Arabidopsis thaliana: one gene and its partner. The protein of the gene in region 1 interacts with the protein of each later gene in a biochemical or structural test. Each region holds a gene or a part of one and is shown in the gene's direction. Other genes may lie near its edges.

Region 1 (7,088 bases):
ATTCTCTACAACCCCATATTAGATTCCGTTATGTTCAAATTATACGCGTGGACCACTTGGTCACTTGCATTTCGACCATGGTGTTGTTTAACATGTGGTTTTTACCAAGGACATGCTCTTAGTATGGTCTAGATATAAATTCGATATTGAGATTAATGAATGACATCTAGAAATGACTATATTAGATGAAATCAAGCAAGCTAACTCGTTGATTGTCTATATGTTTATGCATGTTATAATAAGTTTTGTTTCGGGTCACCATAAATATACTTCTAGCACAATTTTACTAAAAAAACAAACACTTTGTTTCTTTTAACTAACTCAGATTCGGTGAGACATATCACAGAAGCTCGCAAAAGGCTGTCTGCTAGCTTTATTCAGTCTTTACGTTTAACAATCTATTTTTAATTATTCACTATAAGATGGCTTCTTTTAAAAACTTTCTTTTTTCCTTTATGGAAGCTTTAGCCCTTTGAACACTCCCTTTTTTTTCTTAGTTATATAGGTAACCCACTTATGATCACAGTTAATTCCATGTAGATCGTATTAAAGTAGTCTATTGACTAAATCACTAAAATATCAATTAATGAATTAATGTTGTATGATTTGTTATCGTTTATACGAAAGTAAAGAAAAACAAGAAAACATGACTTGGATTAAGTAACTCTATGTTCTGTCTTAATACAGGAGAGCAGGGAATTCAAGACGACCACCAGGAAGAGCATAAGTACGGTTAAAGCTTGGGTAAGAAGCAGAAAGAGAGAGAGAAGTATAATTGTTGGCAAATTAATATAGGTCTTGTATTGCTGCTAGATTCTCTTTTCCTTTCATTTGGGATCGAATCTTTTAAATATGCGCAAAATATTTGTGACCCTACAATTCTGTTTTTTTTTTTTTTAAATGTTTGTTTTGTTCCTATAGTGAAGAAATATTGAGCTAGTTAGGGGAGGTTTTAAAAAAATGAAGACACTGATTATTAAAAGGATTTCAAGAAAGAAAAGAAGTATACGTACATGCAATGCAATCCTGTTTTCTCACGCATTGCACGACTTATATTGGGATTATTTCTAATTTGATCCATCATCAAATAACGTTTAGATGCTTTATTTCCTTACTCACATTGTTTATTGGGTACTTGCACTAAATGATCATTAACATTTATTAAGTTAGGTAAATAATTGTGTACTCCTTTTATGTGCAAAAACACAAAATGGGTACTATTTTATTACTAACATGCTTTCTTATCAAATAGCAGTACCCTATGTTGTTCTAAATAACATGCTAATTCAATTCAGATTTGGCAGACAAAATAACATGGTATTTTAGAGAGAGCGCGCACAAGTGTGTTTTTTTAAAACAAATGAAAACATCATAATTACGTACCTGATTGACCCTTGTGTATATATTCACGATTAGAAATTGTAGATTACCAAAACACTCGCACAAAATGGTTCTATATATAGACAATATATGATTCTTATCACATGTTTTGAATGAAAAAAAAAGAATTAAGATGGATTTTTTTTTTGTAAAGAACAATTGTACTTTGAAAGAGTCTTATCCAATCATTAAAAAAAATGTCGAATCCATTATTTATTGATGTATTCTGAAAGCATATATTCTTCCAAAGGGGCAAATAAAAGAGATGTCGACAAAGATTGGATACATAAGATATTAATAATTTATAAATGCAATGGCATATATATATGATATAATTTGAGCTCTAAATGCCGAAATTTGAAAAGGAGAATGTGTGTAATGGTTCTTACAAATAAAGGAGACCACAATGCTTCTTTGTGTTATGCTTTTTTCCCATCTTTTATTCTTTTGTTCTTTTGTGGGGTTAACTCTACCACTACTCATTTTCTCGCTCTTTTTTCACTTATTTTCCATATATTTCTAATTTCTAAATTAATTTTACTAATCTTGAAATACAAAAAACTATTAGACTTAGCTTACTAATTTACTACACCACCAACATACACACTACGCAACATATGCTAATATGTATTAAAATGAAAAGAACAAAAAATGAGAACCGGTATTACAATTTATCGTAGTGTATGACTAGTTATGAGATGAGAAGGTTCTTGAAAAAAGAATTACTAACCAAATAATGTAGATTAATTATTTGCAAATAAAGAAAAGCAAGAATATATAGCAAAATCATGAGTTTACGGTTCGGCTCTATAAAATCTTCTACAACCATCCACGATAAACTTGATACATGAAATGTCTTCTTCCATTAAAACATGAGTTCCACATATAAAATGGTTTACAAGTAACTCTCGAACATATGTGCATGGTAAAGCAAATATATAATACCATTATTTTTTCTGTCTTAATTAAGCAAAATTAAACATATATATAATATATGATCCCTACATGTTCACTTTTAAAGTTCACAATTTCAAGAGTTTGAATATCTTTAATTTGAATTATTACCAAACGCATTAGACAGACTAAACAGAGACATAATAATCAATCAACTTCTTTTTGTCTTTTTTTTTTTTTTTTTTTTGGGCTTCCAGTCTTCATAATCAAAAGTAACTGAAGACCAGTCTTAAAGCTGGAACATTTGAACTAAACATATACGACTGCTCCTATCGCTCTAGAAATTTTAATTAACAATTATTCATAGTTACTTAATTACAAAGACAACAATAAAGGTGAACGAATAAATTAAAGGAAAATTATGAAAATAGTTTAATTTGTATGAAACTTTTCATCCGCATACCAAATGTCATATACTCTTATCTTACATTTTTCTCTTGGGACATATTTTTGGAGCGAACACTTTCGCATGTACGATAAGGTTCAGTGGTCTGAGCTTCGACTACGTTAAAATGATGATTAGGGTTTACTAATTTGGAATTAGGAGTTACATTTAAGGTTAAAAGTTTATGAGTTTCAAGTTTCAACGAAGCTTTAAAGTTTAAACGATGGTTAAAGTTTTATGATTATGGTGGGCTATGTTATAGTTCTTTCAATTTCGTTGGGCCAAATGGGCTAAACGATTAACGACCCTATGAATGGGCCTGAAAAAATGAAAGCCACGTGTCAGACCCCCACAATGGACTTTGACTCGGTGCGGCTGCCGGAGAGAATAATTAATTATCAACTCCGATGAAAAGAAAACAAATACAAAGTTCCAACAAAAATCGAAATTCACAATTTCTCTTCTTCTAAATCCATGGAGTGATGATGATGATAGATAGATTGAATCCAAACACAAACCGGATCCGAGATTAAAAACAATCCGGATTGTTTATATTTACTTTAGATCGGAGAAAGATGCCGCCGGCGACCGGAGATATCGATCGTCAGATCGAGCAGCTTATGGAGTGTAAAGCGTTATCTGAAACGGAGGTGAAGATGTTGTGTGAGCACGCAAAGACGATTCTTGTGGAAGAGTATAATGTTCAACCGGTTAAATGTCCGGTTACCGTCTGCGGTGATATCCACGGCCAATTTTACGATCTAATCGAGCTTTTTCGTATCGGTGGTTCTTCTCCTGATACTAATTATCTTTTCATGGGTGATTATGTTGGTGAGAGTCTCTCTTTACCTTATAGCTTTTTTTAGGGTTTCTACATTTCTCACATCTCTTGATTTGGATTTGGGTATTTTCCCTAATTTGGATTTGATTTTGTTGACCTTTTGGGGCTAATGTAGACTTATTTGGAAGTGTTTACTAGAAATGGATAGATTATTGTTTATCTATCGAAAAGTTTTGGTTTTGGAAGATTTTGTCATTGAAAAGACGAAACTTTTGTTTTAGCTGTTAACTATTCTCAGGGCTTCTACAATGGAGTAGCTTGACCTTGGGAGATATAACATTTTAATGTAGTTTGTGAAGCTTCATGTTCGAGTACTCGGATTTGTGTTTCTCTTTTCTCTGTTTAAGTGCCTTAAGCTCCGTTTCCTACTTAAGTTGCTCAATTAGCTAACTAATGGATCATTGTTAAACTTGTGAAGATCGAGGGTATTATTCTGTGGAGACAGTCTCACTTTTGGTAGCACTGAAAGTTCGTTACAGAGATAGACTTACTATCCTAAGAGGGAATCATGAAAGCCGTCAAATTACTCAAGTGTAAGTTGTTTTCTCTACTAAGTTTTGTATTATAAGCTTCTCAGCCTCTCTCAAAATGTTTCTTGCTGATTGCTTACCTTTTTCAGGTATGGGTTTTATGATGAATGTTTGAGGAAATATGGAAATGCTAATGTATGGAAGCACTTCACTGATCTTTTTGATTATCTTCCACTTACAGCTCTTATTGAGAGTCAGGTATTTAAAAAACTAATGAGCGTTTTCACTACCTTAGACAATCTCTTCTCTGTTTCTGCTGTTTTGGACTTGACTACAGAACTCTTTTTTTCTGTAGGTTTTCTGTTTACATGGAGGACTTTCACCTTCTTTAGATACACTTGACAACATCCGATCTTTAGATCGAATTCAAGAGGTTAGTTCCAGAATCCAAACCAACAAAAGGATGCACCTTACTTGATGTTTACATAACGAGACTAAGATGTTTGTGTTGCCTCTAGGTTCCACATGAAGGACCAATGTGTGATCTCTTATGGTCTGATCCAGATGACCGATGCGGTTGGGGAATATCTCCTCGTGGTGCAGGCTACACTTTCGGACAAGATATCGCTACTCAGTTTAACCACACCAATGGACTCTCTCTGATTTCAAGAGCACATCAACTTGTCATGGAAGGTTTTAATTGGTGCCAAGAAAAGAACGTTGTGACTGTATTTAGTGCCCCAAACTATTGCTACCGTTGTGGCAACATGGCTGCGATTCTAGAGATCGGTGAGAACATGGACCAGAATTTCCTTCAGTTTGATCCAGCTCCACGTCAAGTCGAACCCGAAACCACTCGCAAGACTCCAGATTATTTTTTGTAAGTACCAAAAGAACTAAAGCTGCAATTCCACACACTAGCTCTTCGTCTCTTTTGCTTCTATTCTTAACCACTTTTTGTAATTTCATATTCCTTACGTCTATTTCTGTTTGTTAAACTCTCCATTGTCTTTTAAAATCCGTAATTTTTTGTGTGCAAAGATTCTGGTCCAAGTAACTGAAACCGCTATCACCAAATTCTATTGAAGCCAACTTTGTACAGAGAAATGATGATCATGTTACACAGCAAAAGCCCTAGCTAGGTAGATATAAATATGAATGTTGTGGAGAGGTACAGACAATAAACAAACAAGCTGGAGCTGAGATCTAATCTATAGAAAAACAACACTCAGATCAAAATAAGATGAATCGAGAGTTTCAAGAGCTTTCTAGTTCGCTTTGGATCCAATCTTGTGCACACATCAAGGCTTGCACGGTACTCGGTCTAAGCGAACGCCATGTTTCACTAACCCGTCTCCTTTGACAAGTTTCAAAGGCGTCTTCTTCTGATGATACATTCAACATTGGAACTGCTAACACGTTACGTGCCATCATGGAGAGAATTGGGTACTTAGGTGTGTGAACTTTCCACCAGTTCAGGATGTCGAAATCTGAATTCCGGGGAAAAAGTGGCTCTTCTAGATACTTTTCTAGATCTGATTTAGAGTCTTGACCCGGTGTAGTAGTTGTTTCGTTAATGTACCTATCGAATTCTGTGAGTCTATCGTCAGGCTCTTTCCCATGGGCAACACCGTTTGACCGATGATGATGATTCTGCCAGTCAAGAGCTTGATTTGACGACGCTAATAGCGATCCTACAGAATGCTCATCGTACAGCAGTTTGATGCACTCAGAAATATCTTCAATGAGCTCTGAAGCACTAGTACCATAAAACAGAGGGTAATAGTATTCAACCAGCTTCATTTTGAACCGCGGGTCTAATATGGTAGCGATGGCTAGAACCAGGTAGTTTTTATCCCAGAAATCGTCAAATTTCTTTCTCATGTTTACAACTAGAGAGCTAATGAAATCATCCGGGTTCTTGCTCCACTCAATTAACCGGAGGTGTATGTCGCATACCTCTGGGAAGTACATATTGGCGGGTAAACAACTGCTCTTTGTGAATGCATTTATCACTTCAACAAAGACTTTCAAGAACTCAACAATTGTTCCTAATCTCTCCCATTCCAAATCAGATGGACATAACACGGAATCAGGATCATGTTCATTCATGAGCGAAAACGCGCTCTTTTGCTCTAAAGCATTCTCCAGCATGGTGCATGTTGAGTCCCATCTCATTGGGTCATCGATGCATAGGTTCCTTTCACTTACAGCTCCCGTTTCAACTATCCACTGGTTGAATCTATCTTGAATAGATTCTGAGCTTTTAACATATCTAATACTCTCTCGAATAATGTTTATTGTGTCACAACAAGCTTCCAGGGAATCTTGAACCATCTCGTTAATGACATTAACTCCACAGCTCACATCAAACAATTGGCCGTAACAGTAAAGGAACTTATTCTGCGATAACCGGTCTCTGATTTTACTAGCTACGTTCTCACTAAACGGAGGAGCATGACTCGACGCCATAGAAAACAACTTCCGGTCAATATCCCACTCCATCAAACACGTCATTATAACTTCAGCAAGCATCTCACCACTATGAGATGGATCAACCATAAAGAAGTTCAAAACTCTCTTTTTCAATTCCCATCCTTCATCAATATAATGCGCTGCCAAACACAAGAATTCATCAGAATCACCCGAACCACTCCACACATCAACACTAATACTAATCTTCCCAGGTAACTTATCCAACGCTTCGAAAATCTTATGCTTCTCTTTCGCATAAATCTCCATACAATCAGATTCAACTCTTTCAAAAGCAACAAGCTCAAACAAAGGCTGTAAATTTCCAATAAACATTCTGAATCCAACATCTTCAACCATACTCAACGGATAACCATGTAAGATAATCATCCTGGCTAAATCGAATCGACACCGCCTCTGATCCAAACCCATACTCACAACATTAACATCTTCATGTTCTTCTTTCTCATGTTCATATCTAACATTCACTACACTAAGCACTTCTTCATCCTTTATCCGCTCATTAGCTAACTCTTTCTTCTTCCCCTTAACGAAATACTGAGCAACACCGTTGTTGTTACCATTA
Region 2 (7,412 bases), on another chromosome or scaffold:
ATCGTTAGCCGTGAAAAACAGTAATTATATATTTACACCAAAAAAAAAAAAAAAAAAAAAAAAACAGTAATTATAGTTAGCTTTTAGTAAATCGAACATTGATAACTAAACGTTTGGTATTGTCCGTAATGACTTTTGCTTATTTCTTTGGCCTATGACCGAAACTCGATAAATTCCTAAAAAGAAGAGAGGCTCAAGAGTTTTCTTTTTCATTCACAATTATTTTATATCAGCCAATATATAGGTAAACAACATCTTATGTCATGCTACTCTCTGATACGTATCTTTACAAATTAAGGAAAAAAACATTAGAAAATCACTGATTTGTGAATCGTTTCCTCAATTAACGCCAATTCTTTTACTCACACAACGTTATGACCAAGTTAATATAGACCAATCCGATTTTAGTAAACCAGTTTGATAACCAAACCGAGTTTTCATCTTCAAAACCCTCCCTCAATTGGAGCAGACAAATTTCGTATGCCTAACTTGTTCCTGAAGACTGCAAAATTATCTATGGCCAGAGGTTTTGTTAGAATATCTGCTAACTATGAAGTTGTACCAATGTGACGAGGTGCAATGTTACCTTGAACAATTTCATCAGGAATAGAGTGATATATAGACTGACATTCAACTTCTACATATTTCGTTCGTTCGTAAAACACCGGGTTTGTTGCAATGTAGATTGCAGATTTATTATCACAACACATAACAATTGGTTGATCATGATAAATCCCAAGCGTGAACAACAACTATTTAAGCCATTACAACTTCGATGTGAGAAAAACCATCGCTCGGCTTCAGCGAAAGATTTACTTACTGTTGGCTATTTCTTAGTTTTCCAAGAGATGAGGGAGTTCACCTAGCTGGATAAGGTAGCATGTAACAGAGGGACGAGTTAGAGGGCAAAAGAGATGGCTCTTAACGATGTCGCATCTCTCACCGGCTTAACCACAATAAACCTTTCAAGACACCTAGAGAATTTAAGTAAAAAATTGTTCACTATTGGAAACAGTATACACAATACTCCGGTGAAACGAGTAGACATGGTTTTGGGAGATACACGTGTAAGTTTTCATATTATAGCGTATTATATTTACAAATATTAAAACGCTAGTAGATTGTCAACTATCTGAAGTATAGTAGAATACATGGTCACACATGTCAAGTAAACTAAAAGATATTTAGCTACCTCACGTATATGGATTGCATGACCACATATACGAAGTATAGGGGTGTCAAAATGGGTCAAAATTCATGGGTCAACTCAACTCAACTCAACCCATGAACGTAATGAGTTGAAAATATTGACTCAAATGAGTTGATGGGTCAAATTAGTTATTGGGTCAATTGGTTTGATGAATAAAATAAATTGGGTTGTAATGGTTAATGGTTTCAATGGTTTACCCAATTAACCATTAAGTTTTGTAAAATTGAATTAAACCAACTAAAATCTCTAAATCAATGTCCATTTAAGTTGAACCAACACATCTAAACCAATTTAATAAAATCAATATTTTTCCAAATTTCTTAAATATACAAGCGATGAAATTGAGAAGAAGTAAACTCGTAATTTTTCCACCAAAAAACACAAAACCGTAATTTTCTCTCCAAAAACGAAAACCCGTGATTTTCCCACCAAAAATGTAAACCCGTAATTTTTCCGCCAAAAAAAACATAAACCCGTGATTTTCCCGCAAAAAACGTAAACCCGTAATTTTCCCGCAAAAAACGTAAACCCATGTTTTTTCCGCCAAAAACGTAAACCCGTAATTTTCCGCCAAAAAAACGTAAACCCGTGATTTTCCCACCAAAACATAAACCCGTAATTTTCCCGCCAAAAACGTAAACCTGTAATTTTCCCGCCAAAAACGTAAACCCGTAATTTTCCTGGCAAAAAAATGTAAACCCGTGATTTTCCGCCAAAAACGTAAACCCGTAATTTCCCCCCAAAAAAACGTAAACCCGTGATTTTCTTGCTAAAAACGTAAATCTGTAATTTTTTCGCAAATAAAGTAAACCCGTAATTTTCCCGCCAAAAACGTAAACCATTGATTTTTTCGCCAAAAACGTAAACCCGTAACAAGTGGAATCCGTAAATATCCTAAGTTTGATGATAATGAATTAATAATTATTAATAATTATTTATTATTATTTTATAATAATTATTAATTAAATTGTTACTTAAATGGACCCATTTAACAACTCAACCCATCAAATGAAATGAGTTATGGGTTGACCTTACCCATTTAACCCATTTAACCCATTAATCATTTAACTTTAAACTCATTTGATTATGAGTTGAGTTGAGTTGGGTTACCCATTTTGACATCCCTAACGAAGTATATGACGTCATGTAGTTAACATCAAAAGGATAACATCGCTGGACAATGGGTCATTATTGAAAAATTTTCTGTGTCTCAGACCATGGGAGAATTTATGGCGATGAAGCAATAATTACCGAATAAAAATCATTTACTCCATGATTTATAATACCAATTAAATAGTTTATAAGTTATTCTTTTTTATTTTTTATTTAAATTTATCTGTATATCAAATTTCATTTTTCGTGCATAAAATTTTGTACCAAACTACATCATTTCACATATGTAAAAAATATCCCTCGGGATTAGTTCTTTTGAGTTTAATTGATTTTGGTTGATAATATATATATTATATATATATATATCAATCTCCATTATACCAAAGTTAAAACTATATATTAATATTATTTTAGTTGATATTAGTAAAGGTTAATATAAATACAAATTAATATTTTTAGTTAATAAAATACTATATTAGCAAAAATCTGGGATAAATAATTTGATATCTTGTCAACATTTTGATACTTCGATAAATAATGTATTAATGTGTTATTTCTTTTTGTCATTATCTACAAAATGTCTAATGTAACTAAAATCTATTTGATAAAATGATGTGTAATTTTAATCATAATGTTTTACAAAATGTCTAATTTAATTAGATATGTTTAAAATTAAATATAAATTTTATTAAAATAATATTAAAATATTAATTTTATGTGGATGAGATAATCATTGGGGCTCACTAATGGAGGTAAAATTGAAGTATGAGTTTTTCTAAATAAAACATTCAAAAAATATAGTCTAATATAATTGAGATATCATGTGGGTATCTCACCAATAAAGATGATCTAAGCGTTGTCTAACAAAACATTATAACCACCTAATATTAAACAAATGTCAAACTTCGACATTACAACATTTAGAATATTCCCAACATTTTTATGCATTAAATTTTATATGTATATTTAATCCGGGTCAAATGGCACCCCTTTCTCCTTAGTGGATCTGCCACTTAACATCATTCATTTTCAATAGGTTTGTGAAGGCAAGACTTGTCCCCTTAACGGCAAATAAGATTGAAAACGACTATCTCTTGTCACACACTTCGTTATGTCACGAGCTATACGGTTACTTTGACTTTGAGGCATCACTACCTTGAACTTATACACCACTAGAAACTTCGAACTAGGTTGTGTATATGGCCAAAGTATGTCCGAGAACGGGCGCAGGGTTATTCAGAGTTTCAATAGATCATGTCAGCTTCGAAAGAATCCACAAAATATAACACAATATTGCCGTAATCTTGTTAAGGGTATGTAGAAAAGCATCGTAGCCCACGCAGCAACACCACATACAATAAAACTTGAATTAGTCCATGAAGAACTCACTATTTACATTCTTTGGGCTTATTATTGGGTTACAAAACCATCTTTGGGCTTATTATTGGGTCACAAAACCATCTTTGGGCTTATTATCAGTGATCCATAATTATTCCTTTGGAACTTTTTTTTATTAACCCTTTATTTCTCATTTGCTCTCACTATCGTTCGTTACGTCTCTGTAAATCACTGAGAAAATGGAACCTCCAAAGGAACAACAAAACACGCCGGAGAAATCAATCTCCGATGCTCCAGCCACCATATCCTCCGCCTTTCCTCCTTCCGGATGCTGCACAAACTGCGGCGGACCAACGATTTCAGAAGCACCACCACCACTAGCTTCATTCCCAGAGATGTCACCACCACCAAACTATCGTCCGATCCGAGCTCCAGCAATCAATCTCCCACACAACTCTCAAGCAATAATCCTCTCTCCCGTTCCTCACGCCGAACAAGTCCCCGTCGTATCTCCGCCCTATCATTTCCAATCTCCCGTCAAACGAATCCACTCTCCCGACGATATCCGCCGATTTCACGAATCCGCTTCTTGTAAGAACTTCTTAGGATTCGTAGTATCTCTCTCAGAATCGATCCGTGGATTTAAGATCTCAGATCCTTGTCATATCTCACCAACCGTCGCCGCCATAGTTTCAATCCTTGAAACATTGTTACAATGGATCGATGAGATTCCTCCTGCTCAACAATCAGCTCGATACGGTAACGTTTCGTTTAGGTCATGGCATGAACGGCTCCGTGAGAGAGGTGAATCGCTTATACTTGAGTTTCTTCCTGAGGAATTTAAAGAATCTGTGATTGAGATTGTTCCTTACTTCTTCGATAGCTTTGGGAACTCAAGTAGGATTGATTACGGAACGGGACACGAAACAAATTTCGCGGCGTGGTTGTATTGTTTAGCTAGGATGGGGATAGTGAAAGAAGAGGATTATCATAGTTTGGTTGCTAGGGTTTTTGTTAAGTATTTGGAGTTGATGAGGAAATTGCAAATGGTTTATTGTTTAGAACCAGCTGGATCTCATGGAGTTTGGGGACTTGATGATTACCATTTCTTGCCTTTCATATTTGGGAGTTCTCAGTTGATTGATCATAAGTATATGAAACCGAAATCGATTCATAACGATGATATTTTGGAGAATTTCTCTAGTGAATACATGTACTTGTCTTGTATTGCATTTGTGAAGAAGGTTAAGAAAGGTTTGTTCGCTGAGCATTCGCCGTTGTTGGATGATATAAGTGGTGTACCGAACTGGAAGAAAGTGAATAGCGGTTTGCTTAAGATGTATAGAGTTGAAGTGCTTGAGAAAGTTCCGATTATGCAGCATTTCCTCTTTGGCTGGCTCATCAAATGGTATGATTCTTCTTTTTTCCTTTTGTCTCGTTTTTAGCTGATCTCTATTGCTTTAAAATAGAAACCTTTGGTTGTGTAATGGTTTGTCGATTGGATTATCTATCTTGAGATTAATATCTAGAATGATATTTCATGTTGGTGATCTTAACCTGTGATGATATTGTGAATTCATTGATGGCATACCAACTTTAGAATAGATGATACCGGATTTTCTAGTATGCGGTTTCACATTTGTGATCATTAGTTGGATACTTATGGAGAATAATTTGCTGAAAACTGATGTGTAACAGCTGCACAATATTGTTTGCGCCATTGTCTACCCAAATTTGCATCCCATTTTTCATTAGACATGAATATTGACAGCTTCTCATTGGCCTCTATAGCTAAATCTCTTGTTGAGTTCTACACAGCTGAATCGTTCGTTTATTTTGCGCCAAATGTTTTAAAACATTATCGTGGAATCTAATTGCGTAAAAAATGGTGTTGGCAGGGAAGAGTGATTTACTTCAGTGTGCCATACATGGAAGCAGGGACAGCGATTTTCTCTTCCTTGAGGTTGCTTAACATAAAGTAGAGACGCTTTTGCTTTTGCATGTATCTGATAGGCATGGTTTATCTTTGGGTTTTTTTTTTATCATGCCATCTTCTTCTTGTATTCTCTGCGTTTTACAACTTCAGATTGTCTTTTTTGATGATTCGCTTCTGCCTTAGGTATCTAATAGAGTAAAGAACCAGATAAAGGGGAAAGGAATGTTTTATTCAAAAATCCTTAAAGACCATAATTTCCCTCTAGAGTGAATCTTCTTGCGCCTCGGTTACAACCGAACAATGAAGCTAAAACATTCTTGCTTGCGTCTCTCAATATCAGGAAAATAGAAAATACCCAAGTTATCTCCTTATGTGTACTAGACTACTAGTGATTCTCTTTCCTAGTTTTATGGCAAGTTCATGTAGTTACTGGGTATCTAACTTATTGATGCCTGGTTCTATGCATATCGATGCGACAAACGGCTACGACAGAGTAAAAATATAATTGTGAAGTTGATCACTTTGGCTGAAAATGATCACTGCGAGTTAGGTGTTGTTGCTGTTTTAATCGTTATTTTGTATCCACTTTGCCAAACCATATCAAAATTAGTCATTCTCTGAACATTCTCTATTTCATTATATTGGTTGCGAGAAAAATAGACTTGAATGTACACAACCAGCTGTATATAGTAGTTTCATGCGAGTCAATCTCTCTTTTTATGGTAAGAAGATCTGATACAAGTTGTCCTATGAAGATTTTTAAAAATCTAATTTTTTTTTTGTGATGGTAGTATCAATTTTGAGAATATGTGTATGAATGGAACTTGAATTAGAATTGCTGAAATTTATATGAAGCAAAAAGAGTATTGATGAGATAATGTCAGTACTTTTTTTTTTTTTTTTTGTCATATATAGTGTCAGTACTTTAGGAACACAAAATGATGCTAATTTAAATAGAAGCTAGAATGAAGAAGCACATAATGAAACAAATGTGTATATTTGAAATGAATATAGTATGTTTTAAGATGAGGAAAACAACATGAGGGTGACTTTGTCGCTCATGAGGAGAATGCAAATTATCAAAATACTTATCTGGTAAAGATGAATTTAATCTTTTGTTCATAGAAATCGTAACATTCGATGATGCAATCTCCCCTTCAACTAAACTGAGTCTTGTTCTCTTCATAGATATATGATCATCGTGAATCATTCTTTCTTTCGAACATAAAAGTCTAGTTTTCTTCATAACTTTTGTAGATGATTCATCTCAATAAATGTATGACAAAACATAATTTTAATTGGGATCTATCTTCATCATAGACATTCTCCTTAGATGTCTATCTTTAGCGTGTTATTTGTTTTGTCGATAAAAATATTTTCATGCAAAAACCCAGTAAAATAAAAACCATGATAAAAAAAAAAAGAGTTTAACCACGCATATCATTATATTTTTCTCTGTGAAGCATCATCTTCGAAAAATTATGATCTCCACTTTCTGCTACTTGTTGGGTTCTTGACTATAAGAGAAGAACTTTGGAAGAATATTTTTATTTATGTCAAGAGAGAATAATACCGACTGAATTCGATATCTACATCAATTTATGTAAACAATGTTGTTGGCTCTTTACTTGTACCTATTTTGCATACTTCTTGTGAATGGTAGGACATTAATCTGAGCCATAAAAAATCTATACATGCCTCATGAAAGGAATAATTTTGGCATGATTTGAACAAGTGACAACCAAATTTTGTTAATGTGAATGCCATGAATTTGTTGTTTTGTGTTATATATTTACAGGGATCCAATATGCATCT

What was found.
Region 2: the proteins of PP2A (region 1) and AT4G08960 form a complex in vitro, tested with the Arabidopsis thaliana proteins (one study listed by BioGRID).

The regions. Positions count from the first base shown.
Region 1 is NC_003070.9:26,346,718-26,353,805, reverse strand, and holds PP2A (serine/threonine protein phosphatase 2A), read left to right. Parts: upstream 1-3,108; 5' UTR 3,109-3,294; coding exon 3,295-3,550; intron 3,551-3,978; coding exon 3,979-4,093; intron 4,094-4,179; coding exon 4,180-4,288; intron 4,289-4,385; coding exon 4,386-4,463; intron 4,464-4,548; coding exon 4,549-4,914; 3' UTR 4,915-5,085; downstream 5,086-7,088. UniProt on the Arabidopsis thaliana protein: Associates with the serine/threonine-protein phosphatase PP2A regulatory subunits A and B' to positively regulates beta-oxidation of fatty acids and protoauxins in peroxisomes by dephosphorylating peroxisomal beta-oxidation-related proteins.
Region 2 is NC_003075.7:5,742,426-5,749,837, forward strand, and holds AT4G08960 (phosphotyrosyl phosphatase activator (PTPA) family protein), read left to right. Parts: upstream 1-3,845; 5' UTR 3,846-3,900; coding exon 3,901-5,069; intron 5,070-5,559; coding exon 5,560-5,569; 3' UTR 5,570-6,084; downstream 6,085-7,412.